Lepisosteus oculatus: one gene and its partner. The protein of the gene in region 1 purifies or fractionates together with the protein of each later gene. This does not show direct contact. Links are inferred from orthologs where the notes say so. Each region holds a gene or a part of one and is shown on either strand. Other genes may lie near its edges.

Evidence for each region.
Region 2: the proteins of huntingtin-interacting protein 1-related protein (region 1) and picalma fractionate together in Homo sapiens (co-fractionation; 3 studies listed by BioGRID and IntAct, with this or other methods). This does not show direct contact. The link is inferred for Lepisosteus oculatus from reciprocal best matches to the Homo sapiens genes HIP1R and PICALM.

What each region holds. Positions count from the first base shown.
Region 1 is NC_090717.1:7,337,544-7,345,272, forward strand, and holds the start of huntingtin-interacting protein 1-related protein, read left to right. Parts: upstream 1-4,585; 5' UTR 4,586-5,104; coding exon 5,105-5,197; intron 5,198-7,729. Other genes in the region: ccdc62 (coiled-coil domain-containing protein 62), read left to right, coding at 991-1,065, 1,673-1,753. UniProt on the Homo sapiens protein: Component of clathrin-coated pits and vesicles, that may link the endocytic machinery to the actin cytoskeleton. Binds 3-phosphoinositides (via ENTH domain).
Region 2 is NC_090700.1:7,411,702-7,418,802, reverse strand, and holds the start of picalma (phosphatidylinositol binding clathrin assembly protein a), read right to left. Parts: upstream 3,050-7,101; 5' UTR 2,569-3,049; coding exon 2,439-2,568; intron 2,332-2,438; exon of another isoform or gene 2,238-2,331; intron 1-2,237. UniProt on the Homo sapiens protein: Cytoplasmic adapter protein that plays a critical role in clathrin-mediated endocytosis which is important in processes such as internalization of cell receptors, synaptic transmission or removal of apoptotic cells.

The DNA of each region.
Region 1 (7,729 bases):
TTTCATAAATCTGCATTTCTTTTTTTGAGGCCAGAAAACTTGTCAACCTTTTAAAAATAAATTAATAGGGCTCTGCTTTACCATTACAATGGTGACATCAGTTCTTGCACAGTTGTTTTTCTTTGATGCTTACTGTATTTCCATATAATATTATGAGAAAAGAATGCATTTTATTTACTCACAATATGCCTTAATATATTTCAGATCTGTATTTCGAAAGAATAAGAACAATTATTACCCTGACTGTTAAAGGAAACACATTATTAAATATTGTGCTTTTATTGAACTTACAAGAACGTATTTAAATATATTGTGAGTTTGTTGGACTTTATATGTGGGGGTGCTTTATTGTTTTTGTTTCATAGAGATCTGTGGCCTGCTAGCCCACTAACCCTGTCAGTCTGAATGATCTCGTGTTGGCTTCCCCAATCAATCGGGTTTCCTAATCTCCATAATCTTCTTACTGTAGAGCTGCCTTGTTAATCTGCTTTTAGGGGTGAATTGTGTCATGCTATCTTGCATTTTGTTCTGTGACATTTTGCTACATAGAGCACAGGCGGCTTTATTGCCTAATTTGCAGAATCTCTAGGTATTTCTGCTTCACTTTCACACACAAAGGGTAACTTGAGTGAAATAATATGATATTAGGTTGGCACACACAATCCTGTAATAATGCGCTGTTCTATTTATAATCTCCTGTCATTCACAGTCTAATACAGTCATTCACCACTCAAGCCTACTGAAATAGAAATGTTTAGTTGAAGTACCATCCAGAGTTAATATTTTTAAAAGATCAGATTTTTTGCAGGATTTAAAGGCAGATGGATGGACTGCTGTGTGAGGACTGTTTTTACTTTATAATAAACTGAAGTTTATATTTTTCTGTTTACAATTATTTATATTTTTGAATACCGACTTCAAGGCTTAAAACTTGATCTTAAAGGTAATGTGGTACGTTGACTGGTGTTTTGTTTCTGAAATTCTGAATAGAGTGTTGAGGCATTGGACAGCAGAGAACAGTTCCTCAGAGACACCCAGCTGCTTGAAGGTTCCACGCACTCCAAGGTAAATATTGTTTCTTAATACAGGCTGGGAAAACAAAGGCTATCAAATCAAGTCAAGTGCAAATACAACTCTATATTAATGTTTATAATAATGTATAATGTTTTATAATAATGTATAATTTTTCGTTATTAGCCCTATACAATTTCTTGCATTAGGAATTCGTCTTTTCGCATACCCCAGCTTTTCTCCATGGAGACAGAGACACACAGACAGGGAGAGAGAAGCTTGGGGACAGAGCGCAGGGTCTGCCATTGTACGGCGCCCCTGGAGCAGTTAGGGTTAAGGGCCTTGCTCAGGGGCCCAACAGAGTAGGATTCCTCTGCCGGCCGTGGGATTTGAACCGGCAACCTTCCAGTCACAGGCGCATAGCCACAGAGCCACCACTCCGCCCTATTAATTGGCAGTGGCCAGCTGAAATAATTCACTAGGGTAACACAAAGATTAAACCACAGACTGATGCACTTTTCAGTCCTGTTGCATAAAAGAGTAACACTGCAGAAAAGTTTGGATTTAGGAGAGTGGTGATGTGAGAGTATTCTGTGTCTCAATATAAGCGTAGAAAACAAAGATGCAGTTTGTCTTACTGTTATTTTTTCTGATTCCACAGCACCAAAATTCTTGTTCTAAGAGAAGTGTAGCAGGCAGCCTCTTAAACCTGGACACACAGCAGCTGCCTGTTAATCTCTAAGACGCATCAGGTATCTGGGAGGCCGTGAATTGGACTGCAAAGGCTACCCATGTGTTCAAAGCCAGCTATCTCCGTGGAACTGTGGGTGGAGGTGAAAGTTCTGAATGACGCTGGGATGCCTGGATTGCACAGGGATGCAGAAATATGTACCATAAAAAAGGAATGTCTTATGCTCCTAGACCACTGTTAGAGTCTAATAGCTAGGGTAGGCGTTTCCTCAGATGCTAACAATGCAAACAGACACAAAGTTAAAAAAGAGTCCCGCTGTATTTTATGCATGTGATAATAAATTCATTCTTTAAAGAATGCGAAAGTTTTTTAAAAATAAACAGTAATTTATTTTTTTAAATTAATGCTGGAAACAAAATGTAATGCAAAAATCTGTTTTCACTTGCCTAGACCTCGATAGTTTTAGATAGCAACATAAAAATAATGACTTAAGTATTATAAAGGAGTAACCAAAAAGCAGAAATTGAGTTTCAGTTTCTGTATTAAATACAAAAGAGATCTGTAGTCAACAGGAATGTGGTTGCACTTTCCATGTAAAATATATTGTTAATGCCTATAGGAAAAAATAGCACATGAGATCTAAGATTTATTGACCTACCAGATCTTTAGATGGCATTAGTCTTGGCTTGGGTTTTTTAAAATATAATTTTATTATCTGAAAGACACATCAATTATAAAAGAAATATTTAAGTATATGCATTTTTATGTTTGAATCATTTGTGGACAAAACTGTTGTTAGAAGTCCAACTCTTCTCTATTAGAAATACAAATGTACTGTTAAGGGTGCACCACAGACACTAGAGCCTAAAATATGACGTTTGCGGGTTTTAATACAGATGTCAGAACCTTTTTCATACAATCACTAACATGTAGTTTCACCTTACAAATACAGTACAGTAACTGGAATGAAACGAGCAATTAAATACAGTAATCTAAGACATGGCACTCTTTAATAGAAACTATTTTAACAGGTCAGAAATGAAGAGCTAAATGATTCATACTGAATCTGAGTGGGCATCTATTTTATTAGAGATACCTGGGCTTTCAAAAAAGTATTAAGTAGTTTTCCCCTGATTAACCTGGAGAAATCTAGATTTTTAAAACCAGCAGTATTTAAAACATTGGGCTCTGTGAGACGTATTTTCCACAGGGGTGAAACAAGCTTTCACTCCTAGATTTAACTTGATCCCAGATTGTCTTCACACTAAATGAGTGATGTTGAGGAAACTTCATTGGCATTCAAGGTCTAGTGAATATCATTTGTTTTCTGGGCTTGTGAAAGGTCCACAATAGCTTTAAAATATTAATTGACAGCAGTTCTTCAACTATTAAAACTCTGCTGTCTCCTGCCAGTAAACCTATTTCCATTAAATTTTGTCTGACTGTACAGTCATTTTACTGTTCCACTCATTACATGATAATGTCAAAGTCTTGCCTCACACCTTTTTTTAGCACGGAAAAATCTGCAAATTTGGGAACATTAGCTAAAAATGTGATAGTTTTCAAATTCAAAGAAGATATTTTGTTCTAGTATTCACCTGAGTGTTACTCTAAATTATAAATGAGCTAAAATGTTGAGGACAGAACGTTCTAATAAGGTACAGTACTACAGCATCAGGGGATACAGTGACTTGTTTTACTTCATTCACTGCTGGTGAGGACATCGTGAGATTACCGTGATGTACATTCAGACAGCTAATTTATTTCCCTCACATTTCAAATACTAAATGCGTGCACTATAACAGTGGTAAGGTGTTTTCTGAAATTCTGCCAGCCTCATTTACCAAGCTTCTCGGTTTAAATTAAACCTTTGTTGTCTAATTGAGTGTTATGTATTTTGAATCCTCTAAAAAGCAATATTTACGCAGCAGCGGGGCAAGTGGGAATGTTATTACAGTGGTATCTTGCACTCTGAATCGTAAGAAAACAGATTGCCCCTCGTTTCAGAGTTCCGCCAGTGTACAAGGGTGTGAGTTTTTTTTTCTAGCAGTTGACGTAAGGAGATGCAGAACAATTTGGACATGTTGCAGAAGTACAGTGACTTTATGTCGTGAAGACAGAGTCTCTAGAGGCGTCAGTACTGAGTTTTTCTTCGTGCCTGTTGACAGTATTGTGAACATCTATAGGGAAGTGGTTGAAACTGCCCTATATTATTACCGTTGGTTCTTGTACATATCAAAAAGCACTACAGACATGAGGACGGAAAACAGAACTATAAACCTAATATGTATCAATACTGTGCAATTCAGATTTGAGCACAAGTGTACTCTGAAATTGTTTTTTTTTAGGTTTTGTAAAGTGCATTATTTTTAACAGTATTTTTCTGAAGATTGTATGTTTTTTTTTAAATGGTCATTGTTATTTGTATCGGAATTGCTCAAATAAAACTTTCTCACATATGTCGTGTACCGTTTTTAAAGATACAAAATACATTTTAAAATAAATATCAGCTAATTAAACTCTTCGACTTCATATTCAAATAAGCAGCACGCTGCAATCCGTTTTATACATTCAGTGTATTTATATAGCCTACATAATGCAATAGGAAATCCATGTTAACATATGAAATTTCTAGACGTCTGAATACTTCTGTGGAAGCCCAATAAAATGCACTGACGTTGTGTAGCGTGTATTTATAATGGCAGATGCCGCTGCTGATTTCTGCAGCAGGCAAATCCAAACGTTTAATGAAAATCTGATCGCACTTGATACGATCGGGGCCAATTCGCAGGGGAGTTTCCCATTGGCAGAGCCCGCCACCAAAAAAAAAAAAGACATTACCGGGCATGGCCGGAACGTGAATCCGACTCCCAGCAGCTTTGTGCGTTGATTGATTGGTGGGGAAAACTGTATACAGTTTTTCTTCTAGACTGATCTCTTATCCCTCCTCCCCCCCTTCTCTCATTCCGCCCATTCAGGAAAGCGCGTTGCTATGTCCGTGTTCTGTGCAACCTGGGCTGGGATCCACGTATCGCAAACACACAGCAGTGCCTTTTTCTTCCTTCTCCCATGATGCTGCGTTCATTTAACTCTGCACGGCGGAGCCAGCCCCTGCACTAGCGCGGCCAGCCGGGAGCTGTTGTTTTTTTTTTTGGGGGGGGCTTTTTGTGTTTTTATTTGTTTTGTTTTCCTTTGTGTTTTAAAGGGCAACCGGAAAAAAAAAAACAAAAAACACACGCGCGTCGTTTGGACTGGTCGCTCCAGCTCGTCGTATCCCCCGGCTTGCTTTTTGTTTTGTTTTTGTTTTTGTTTTTTAAAAAACAAAAGGGTGATTTTTTATCAAGTGCATAATCGACACCAGAGGCAGAGGCATATTCGTCTCCCGAGCTGCCGGAGCGGAGGATGAATTCGATACGACAGGTGCCTTCCAGGGTGAAAAGCAGAAGAAATGAGAACAGTTTGGGGGCGGAGAAAGAGCATTTTGACAAGCAGCAGGTAAAGAGAATATCGCATTGTAAACCGGTGGGCTTGGTTCATTGATAATTTAAAGTCCTACAACTGGGCGAGTAATAGAATTAATTTCACGTGTACGTATACATTGTGTCCTACGTGACAAGACGGGAAGAGTTCAAAAGGTGTCGTCGTCCCCATGTCAGTGAAATCTTTCGAAGAGAACTCAAGCATTTTGTGGGGGAAATGGTGTTTACTTAGTGGTAGCCAGCCTAGGTTGGCTTCTTGAGCTGAAAAAAAAAAATGTGCAGGGCAGAAACATGATGTCAATCATTCGGTGTCTGTTCTGTGTAGCCGTAGCTATCAAAGCGGTCATTAACTGTCCTTGTTTTGTAATTTGTTTGTGTAATATTACTTCTGTTTTGTTCTCGGTGTTGAAACCCGGCTGGGGAGCGCAGTGGCGGGGAGGAGATTGCACATTAATTAAAGAGATTGCTTAAATCTAGACAGGGAAGTGTCCCAAAATAAGTTCACAGTACTCAGACAGCTTAAAAAAAAAGACCCCTCAAAATGCATCGTTATAAAAGTCCTAAATTCGCGCTTTTAAAATCCCGACGTGGATAATAACTGCTAAGAATTCAATATACAGTTGACAGGTCAGTTGAGTCTGCGGTATTTTGCTGAAAAGGGGACTGGTTGGTGTTGGTTTACATACATAAACCGGCAAGGTGGTGATTTCTTTTTAGAAAGTTTGTCTTCCACGCAAAATACGTCATTCAAAGGTGAGTGCACAAATGATGGCTACGAAACAACACCTGATGAAAACATTCATTCTTCCACGTTTGTTTTTTTAACCTGAGCTACGGGCGAACGTCAGCATGAATGCCTCCTTGTAGCCCTGCGAGGGCGCCTCCCTAGCTACCACCGACTTGCTCCCAGCTGATTAGGGAAGTTGTGCACGTCAGGATTCAATGAAAAGGACGTTGTCGGAGGCTTTGCTTACACTTAACGTGATCGGCCTGATGTACAAGCGATACCTGTTCAAGCAGCTTAATCGTGGGTGTCAGCAAACAACTTCGGAAAACAGGCTCCCGTGACCCCTGGGGCATGGAGCTTCAGACTTGACGGAAATTCCTGTGATTCCAGTGGGTTTTCTGTTACATTCGACCCATTACGGCCATTTGGTCCAGTTTATCAGTTTATCACAGCCACTGTAATGCGAACAGCCCCCCCAAAAAAGATTAATTCTCCTTGACACCCCTTTCCCAAAACGGGGCAGTTCAAACGGGTCAATCAAACCTCATCTCTGTGGGAGATGGAAGGGGACAAAAGCACACAGCTTGCACACTAAATTAATCATAGGGGAGGGAGAATGCCTGTTCCACAAGACTGGTCCCCTGAGCTGGAGTCGAACCCGGAAACATCTGGGAAGTGCGAACCCTTGAACAGAACTGGAGGGGTTCTGCATGACCAGCGGCGTATGGATAACAAAAACCAAATGAAAAGGCGAGCGGCGAGCTCCGGGAGGAAGCGAGTCCAGCGGGGAGAAATTGTCCGGTCTCGCTCCGAGCGGGACGGGCTCATCTCATCCCATCACTCGGCACCTTTCGGGATGAGCAATGATTGAATGGGAAACGCCCTCTTGAGGTCTTTTTTGTTTCTGAAATTCAGACTCCAAGCACAGGGAAAAACTTGGAGGAGTGATGATGATGATGATGATGCAGACGGGGGGGGGGGGGACGAAGAGCAGGAGGGCGTGAGCCGAGGGCCTCCCCTCTTGCCATTCAGGCTGGGGCGATTCCGACCTCCACAGTGGAGGTCACATCGCACGGAAACAGATTTTGGAGTCATTCAGTATACAGTGAATCCTGTTCTTGATAAAGTGATACAAATATTTGTATTTGTTTCCGTATAACTGCAACATTTTTTTTTAGGTCAGACCTGACTTTTTTATGTCGAATTTTGAACAGACTAGCAGGACCCCCTTGAAAGCAAACTGGGCTGGTGCATCTTAAGGTGTCAGTATGCTTTGAACAAAATGTATGCTTTCTTTTTAAGCAGTCATAATGGTACCTCTATAATAGTGTGGAGTCTGTTTTGCTGCTTCTTAATGATTTTGTATTACAGTAGTACTAGCATGTGAAAGTTCGTAGAAAGTCAGCACGCTTTCACTGAGGAATGTAATTAGTTCCTCTTTTTAGGAAGAATTGAATGCACTCCGATGTTAAAACCTTAGCTTGGACAAAGATTGATGACCTGCAGTGTTGTGATTCTGGGAGGCCCTAGGGAGTCAGTCCATGAGCAGCAAATTAAACGGGCAGCAAGCTAATTAGTGGACTCAAGATGAAGAAAGCACTATCATGATTGTTAAGGTTTTAGAAGGTTAGAAATCACTGCATCCCCTGACACATCACATTTCGCATGCATAAGAGAGAGACTGAAAGTTTCCAAATGGCATCTGTCTGGATTTTTTAATGCTCTTCCACAGGCCTTCCACCATGTTGTCGACCAGAAACTAGATTTTGCAATAATTATCATAAGCAGACTAAGTAAACATTCTTAGATAGAATCGCATTG
Region 2 (7,101 bases), on another chromosome or scaffold:
TGTTATCCTGACATGCATTAGTTCAAGGGGGGTTACAACTCCTAGAGTATAGTGGCCATAGATAACTGGAATCTTTAAAATAAGATGTGTGATTCACATATATTACGAAAACATTTTCAAAATTCCTTACTCAAGTTTGAACTTCTTTAAATTCCACTGTGACAGACAGATCATTGGACACAAATGGTAACTAAAGAAAACATTTATATGCATTTTAAACAGAGAACAGTAGCACTGCTAGAGACAGTGGATTTTAAGAGTATGGAAGAAACTATCAAGTTTTGCTGAAGGTGATACCATTTCTTCTTTCAAAACAAAATGTCTCCAAGATCCTCTGATCAAATAAACTAGATGGGCTGAATGTTCCCCTTTTCTTTGCAAACTGTATGTTGTCAAAATTGGAACTGTCTTTTTTTAAGAAAGAGTGATGAAAGATTTTGTTTTTCCTATTAACAAAATACATGTAAATGTACAGCAGCAGAAGCAACTATGCAAATATACGCTGAAGGATAAGCAAATGTTTTACAGCTCGTCTGAAGGAAATCTCATTTAATTGAAGTGTCATCTTTGAACAAAATGCTCATTAAAGACTGACTAAAATTGCATGAAAGCAGCAGCCCTTCCACACCTGAAGAATTCTCAACAGTAGCAGCTGGCAAACAAATGTCTAGCTCATCTGCGGTGTTACTTTTCAGCTGAGGAAAACTGTTACAAATCCACAACTTTCCTTCGGTGTTCCACAGATTTGGGATTTTCAGATGGGGTTCCAGGTGGAGTGTCACTTCTTACTGCTTTACAACATATCCCGCAAAAGAAACGGTCAGTCACTCTTCAGCCTTCTCTACCTGAGCAGATTTTACTGACTTTACCTTAAATAGTGTCGGCTTAAAAAAGGCAGATCGTAGCCTTCTAAGATGCCAGGCCACCAGCGCCAGCCCTGGGAGTTGTCCGTTACCTCTGCTGTACAAGGGAAGTTAGATACACCCCAGTTTAGAGCAGTTTCTAAAGGCTCTTTACAACTGTGGCTATTTTCCAGCACTCTTTCAACATTTCCACGGAAAAAAAACAACAACAACTCAGGTTTATCTCCAGTTATTCAAAGTTAACTGAATGTCATATATGAAACATCTCTTCAGACAAATCTTCTATATTATCACATGTATGCTGTGCCTTTTATCCTGTAGAGTGGAATAAACTTTCTCAGTTTCTCATTGCACGTCACCTGGGTTAAATGAGTTTACTTTAAACTGCCGTTCGACTCGAAGGATTTACGATTCAAAAGTTTAGGTTTTCCAAGCAGGGTCTCTTTAACATTACAGATACAACTTGTAAAACAACCCGTTATTGCCACAACAGATAAGGCATCGTGGATTCGGTTGCCTTTTTCTTTACTAGCAGGAGTCATACCTAACAAGCTACAACTACAAAACATCTGACGCCTGCTTGTTTCGTTATTCGGTGTGCAAGAGCGTTACGTGGTATCCAGGTGTGACGGACAGTAGCCTCTGGTGTTAAAATAAAATTAAAAGGAAGCGTGACGCCCCCTTCCATCTATTTCAGACATGGTGACACGTCGAAATCACGATCACAGGTCCGCCGATCTCTGCCCCCCCCAAATCACACACCTCATAAGACATGCTTCAACTGCCCCGAACCGCTATGAACTGTGCAGAAATTGGCGATATACAGCCCGAAGAGGGAAGGAAAAAGTATTTTAAATGGCGTGTTGAAAGTTACCAGCAAGCGGGGAAACTCCTATCAAACACCTTCACGGCCATCAGAGGAGGCAGGAATAATTAGGCTAACTAGGGCACTTAATACAGTACGTCCTAACTCAACCCAACAAAGACAAGCCGGGCAGGAGCCTGGAAAAATCAAACGGTAAACCGATTATGTATATCCACACCACAATAAAATAAAACCTCCCATCAGAAAGAAATGACAAGATTACTCAGAATTACGAATAAAATTAATTGGGATACTTATGGGGGGTGAATCAGGAACTGGTCTATAATAATAAGAAGAAGAAATTAAAAGATCAGTGATCGATGCCTCGTACTTCCACAGAGAGAGAGAGAGGCTGTGTGGCTGGGCTGCGGTGAATTATTTTCCCAAATAAATAATTAAGGATTTCAATGGAGGGCATGGAGGTCTAACTCAGATTATTCATTAAAAAACAAACAAACACAGGTGACGGCGTTACGCCTAACACAACACGGGTGACAAATGTAACGTACCTGCGAGACGTTAATATTAGGGGGCCGATCCTGCTAGTAGTGCTGGCTGATAAGATATTAGTAGGAGATGTACTTAGGCCTCAGCACTTAGCTCAGGTCTCGTCACCGTCCTTATCGCAACTTTAGCCCCGATACGCAGAGGGCAACGGCTGAAATATGTTATTTTGTGTGCGGCAGAGCCCTAACCACGAAGATACTTACAATCTAAATGTTTCTTTTTCGGTCCCATGATTTCGTGCGTGGTCGCCTTGCACACAGTTTTCGAGACTGCAGACCCGGTAACACTGTGTTGAGCTGCAGTTATCCTATCCGTTATGCTCTGCCCAGACATCTTCGCTTCTCTGTACAAGGAATGAAAAACAGGATAGATCTTCCCGATATTTTAAAGAGAATCGGTATGTTCGGATATCCTCCGGGGGCTTCCACGGTTCCACCACCTGACACAGAAAGGAAAAGAAAAAAAAAAGAGACAAAAACCGTCCGTACTCGGGAGAAAAACCAGTAGGAAAAACAATATTGTTATATCCACTGTTTGGTCCAAGAAGCCCCAGTATAAATGCCAAAGATCATTGGACGTCGGGCTGCAGGCAGATAAAAAAAACAGTGCTTCTTTTTTTCTTAAGGGTCCTCGTTTCTCTTACTCCCTCAACCTATTACCACACACACACACTCTCTCTCGCACTCACTCTCTCTTCCCCCCCACCTCTCTCTCTCTCTCTCACCCTCTGTGTCTCTCTCCTCTTTTTCGCCTCCCCCTGCTGGGTTTAAATGGACCGGAGGCTTGCAGGAAAATGGCGGGTCCGTTTCCTTCTCTTGCTGGAGCCTCCCAAGGTATTGTGTAGTTCGGAAACTGACTCCATTGTGGCTCCTGCGTGTTTTCGACAACGCCTGGGCAAGAATCGAGTTTGTAGAGCCAACATGGCGACAAGCGAACAGTAGTTTCCCTGCTCCCGTCTTCGGTCTGTACACCAGCAGGGATGGTTTCAATTCACGTGACATGTCACACGTTCCATAGTGCTCTATTTCGGCAGAAAGTATTGTTAGCAGTGTAATCAAAGGGTGGCTGTCTGTCTTTGCTTCCGTCGTTCAAATAAGCAGACTGATCTCACTTACTTACCCATGCATGCTCCCTTTTAGTAACTTTAGTCTTGAAGGTAATTTGTGCATTGGAGAAAAATACCACTGATGAAGTTTCATTCCATAAACCAACTCTTAAGGTAGGCTTTATAACATAACATCACTTTATTAGCCCTATACAATTTCTTGCATTAGGAATTCATCTTTTCACATACCCCAGCTTGCTCTCCATGAGAGACAGACACACAGACAGGGAGAGAAGCCTGGGGTAACAGCACAGGGTCAGCTATTGTACAGCACCCCTGGAGCAGTTGGGGTTAAGGGCCTTGCTCAGGGGCCCAACGGAGTAGGATTCCTCTGCTAGCTGCAGGATTTGAACCAGCAACCTTCCAGCCACAGGCACATATCCTTAGCCACAGAACCACTGCTCTGCCCCTTATAGCAGAAGAGATCATTTTACCATTTGACTCGCGTACCTCAATGTTAAATTCCACCCTAGAACAGAAAAGTCTTTTGGCATTCTTTTCATCTCGGGAATGTATCAGTCAAGTGGATCAGATCAAATGGCACACCGACACGTTTAGTAAACAGCGGAACCATTTTACACCAGGGTGTTGTCATTTGTCAATAAATGCTTCTTCCAAGTTTCATTAGCAGTGCGAGTTACCTCACAGTGCATCCAGTCTGATTGCATTCACGTATGCCTGCGATGTACAGGATGCCAGACAATGGAAAGTAACCTAATTAATTAGCTACAGGACTCTGAACTCCACTCTCTGTTGTGAGCCTAACCAATACCATATTAAATTGTGTTTGTAAATAAAACAATGTTTGAAGAATTGATGCGGAACTGAGCAGGTTTTCCATTGGCTCTGCCCTGGGAACTTCTTAAACAATCAGAGGGGCATATGCACAAGCAAACTAAAGAGGCTTCAGTTGAGCTCAGCTGGCATTCATGCTGGGAGTAAAAGGGATCTTTCACTGTAAAAACACGAAGTCTGCTTAAAAAAAAAAGAAGATAATGAGCTCTCCAAAGCTCGCACGTAATGTTTGTGCATAGTAATAAAGATCATCTTTGCATATGTGATGCGTATAGTTCTTCCCCTGCTGGGATTCAGTCACTCAAGAATTACATTACCGTTCTTCTGACAGAGGAGAGTTGCACTCCAGGGTGACATAACACTCTGTAACATGCTTATCTTTGTTTGTGTGCTACTTTATCCTCCTCTGATGTTGTGCACCCACCTATTGGGTATAAGGTAGCCATTCTCTGCCTGTTCACTACCCTTTAGATCAGGCAGGTAGAGTTTGTTCTCCATCAACAGAATTTGAGGAGAAATTTGATTTAGGCAGGACTCCAGGGTTAAGTCCCCTGCTCTTACAGTGTCATGGGGTCTTCAATGACCACAAGGATTAACACCTCATTCAAATGATTGCACCAGTGTTCTCTAACACCATTCTGGCACATTCATTTGGGGATTCTTGTAAGGAGGTCCGAGGGGACACCTAACACTATACTAACAGCATCAACCTGACTCCCAAAGCAGTGCTGAACAGGTCCAACATAGGGGTTACAAAATGTGCCTGAACGCTGCAGTCCACTCAGCTGAATATAATCAGGTTTATGCTAAATGAGCCAGCCTTCCATCTAGAGAGTGCTTGAATCCACGTAACACTACAGAAAATGGGAAATGCTCCAGCCAGATGAGCCATGAAGCTTAAATATGGAACTCCAAACTATAATGTGAAAACTGTTGGACTTTCCCATCCACTAAAAATTGTATGTTGACTGCCTATTCTTTGTGGTTTTAATTATAATGCATTTAATCTTTAACACAGTGACTATATTCATGTGAAGACAGTCCCATACTATGCAAACATGTACCCAATTTAGATAATTTTACAAAAGGGTTCAGGATCATCACAGGCATCAACATTTTTATTTACAGTGCTTACATTACTAATGTAATGCATGGCCATCTTGTGGCAAGATCTAGGAATCACATCTAAAGGCTGTTGTGAAATGTTTGATCACACCACATGAGCAATTTAAACAGAACTATAGACTTGTTTTAAGTTCTGTAGAGGTCCAATAAAAATATTTTCTTTCAATTTAAAAGATTCATCATTAATTGCATGAATTATTCATTTTCTGGAAGAAATCACAAGTTCAATACTATTCAAAAAATAATTTAAAAGCAAAAGTAATGTAATGTACATTTTCTTCTATCATATGGCCATATACATTTTCTTCATTTATCTTTAGAAATGCTTCAAAACGTTTAGAGCACTCCTTCCTAATAATGAAATTCAGTGGTTTAATTTAGTAAGTAAAAGTAATATTTGCTATAAAACAATGTCCTTCAAATGCTTTTTGTTTACTTTGTGTACAAATTTAAATTATTAAATCAGGGATTAATGACACATCATAATTCTTTAGATTGAAGAAATCTCTTAAAAGGATAAAGAATGTAATTTCGTATTTGCATATAATTTCGTTTTTGTCTTAACTTAATTGTTTCAATGTACAACTGTTTGTGCTGCAAAACATGATTGAAGAATAGGAATGTCTTTTATGGGTGTCCTGTGTGAAAAAAAGTAACTACAAATACAGCAAATCTACAGAATAGTAAATTCCACAGCTGTGCCTGTGCCTGTAAGATTTTATATTTATAACCTACCAATACACTTCAAACCAATATGACTGTAAATGCTAAAGCATGTCAATAAATTTGATTTCTAATGAAAGGTAGAAGATTCCCAGTCCTTAACTACTTCACTATGATGACCAAAATCCTTTGAGGTTCAAAAAAATATTTTGAAAATCACAAAACTAGAGTATTATTTTTATTATGTATATTTATTTGTATCTTATTTTTTTAATGTTTGTCAGATACCATAAGACTCTAACTTAGCTTACATGTTTCTCTGGTTGGCTTCAAGATCATATAGTCTCTGTGGACTCGATTTATTGATTCATTTCCCTATAGGTCATCTAGTAAAGAGTGGTATAAAGTTGGTGACTTACCTAGTTTGGATAAAAAATTATAACAACAAAAATATAAAATATCTACATATTATTTTAATAAAAAATAAATGATGCATCCAAGCAGATGAGGTATTGATCAAACAACAAAATATGTCAACACTTATTCTAAACTAATTTGGAATAAGCTGGTTATTCTATATGACAGGTACAGTAGTTGCAAATAGCTGAGTAGCTAAACTAAATAATAGGACCAAGGCATTTTCTATTAATCAAACAGTATTTTAAGAGTTTAAGTTGACTTCATTGTCATTAGAGATATTCAAGAGAATCAAGAAGTTCAAGCACTTTGCAGTAGAGCTTGCTTAGATCATTTATACATGTCCTGGTCTTCATATTGTAATTACTGTCATGATTACATTAGCATTGTGAAATGGGAGGCTCAGTCTTCACTGTGTCTCTACTTCAAATGAAACCATTTTGAAGTATGTGGATGACCGCAATAAAACAGGTGACAGTAATATTTGGTTGCAACTACTAACGGTAATACACTCATTATATTGTTTTATTATATTGCCACTAACATTCAATAATATTATTTCTTTAAATCAAGACGTAACCTACTGTATTCCATGTGGCTCAGCATTGTGTCCCTGCTCACTAGAGGGCATTGTAGCACTGCCTGAGCAACTGCTTCAGTACACCTTCAGCAAGTGAAATAAAATGCACCACAGGATAAGGAATAACAGACTCAACCAAAGCCTGAAATTAAGATACAAAGCCAAGACCAGCAACATTATA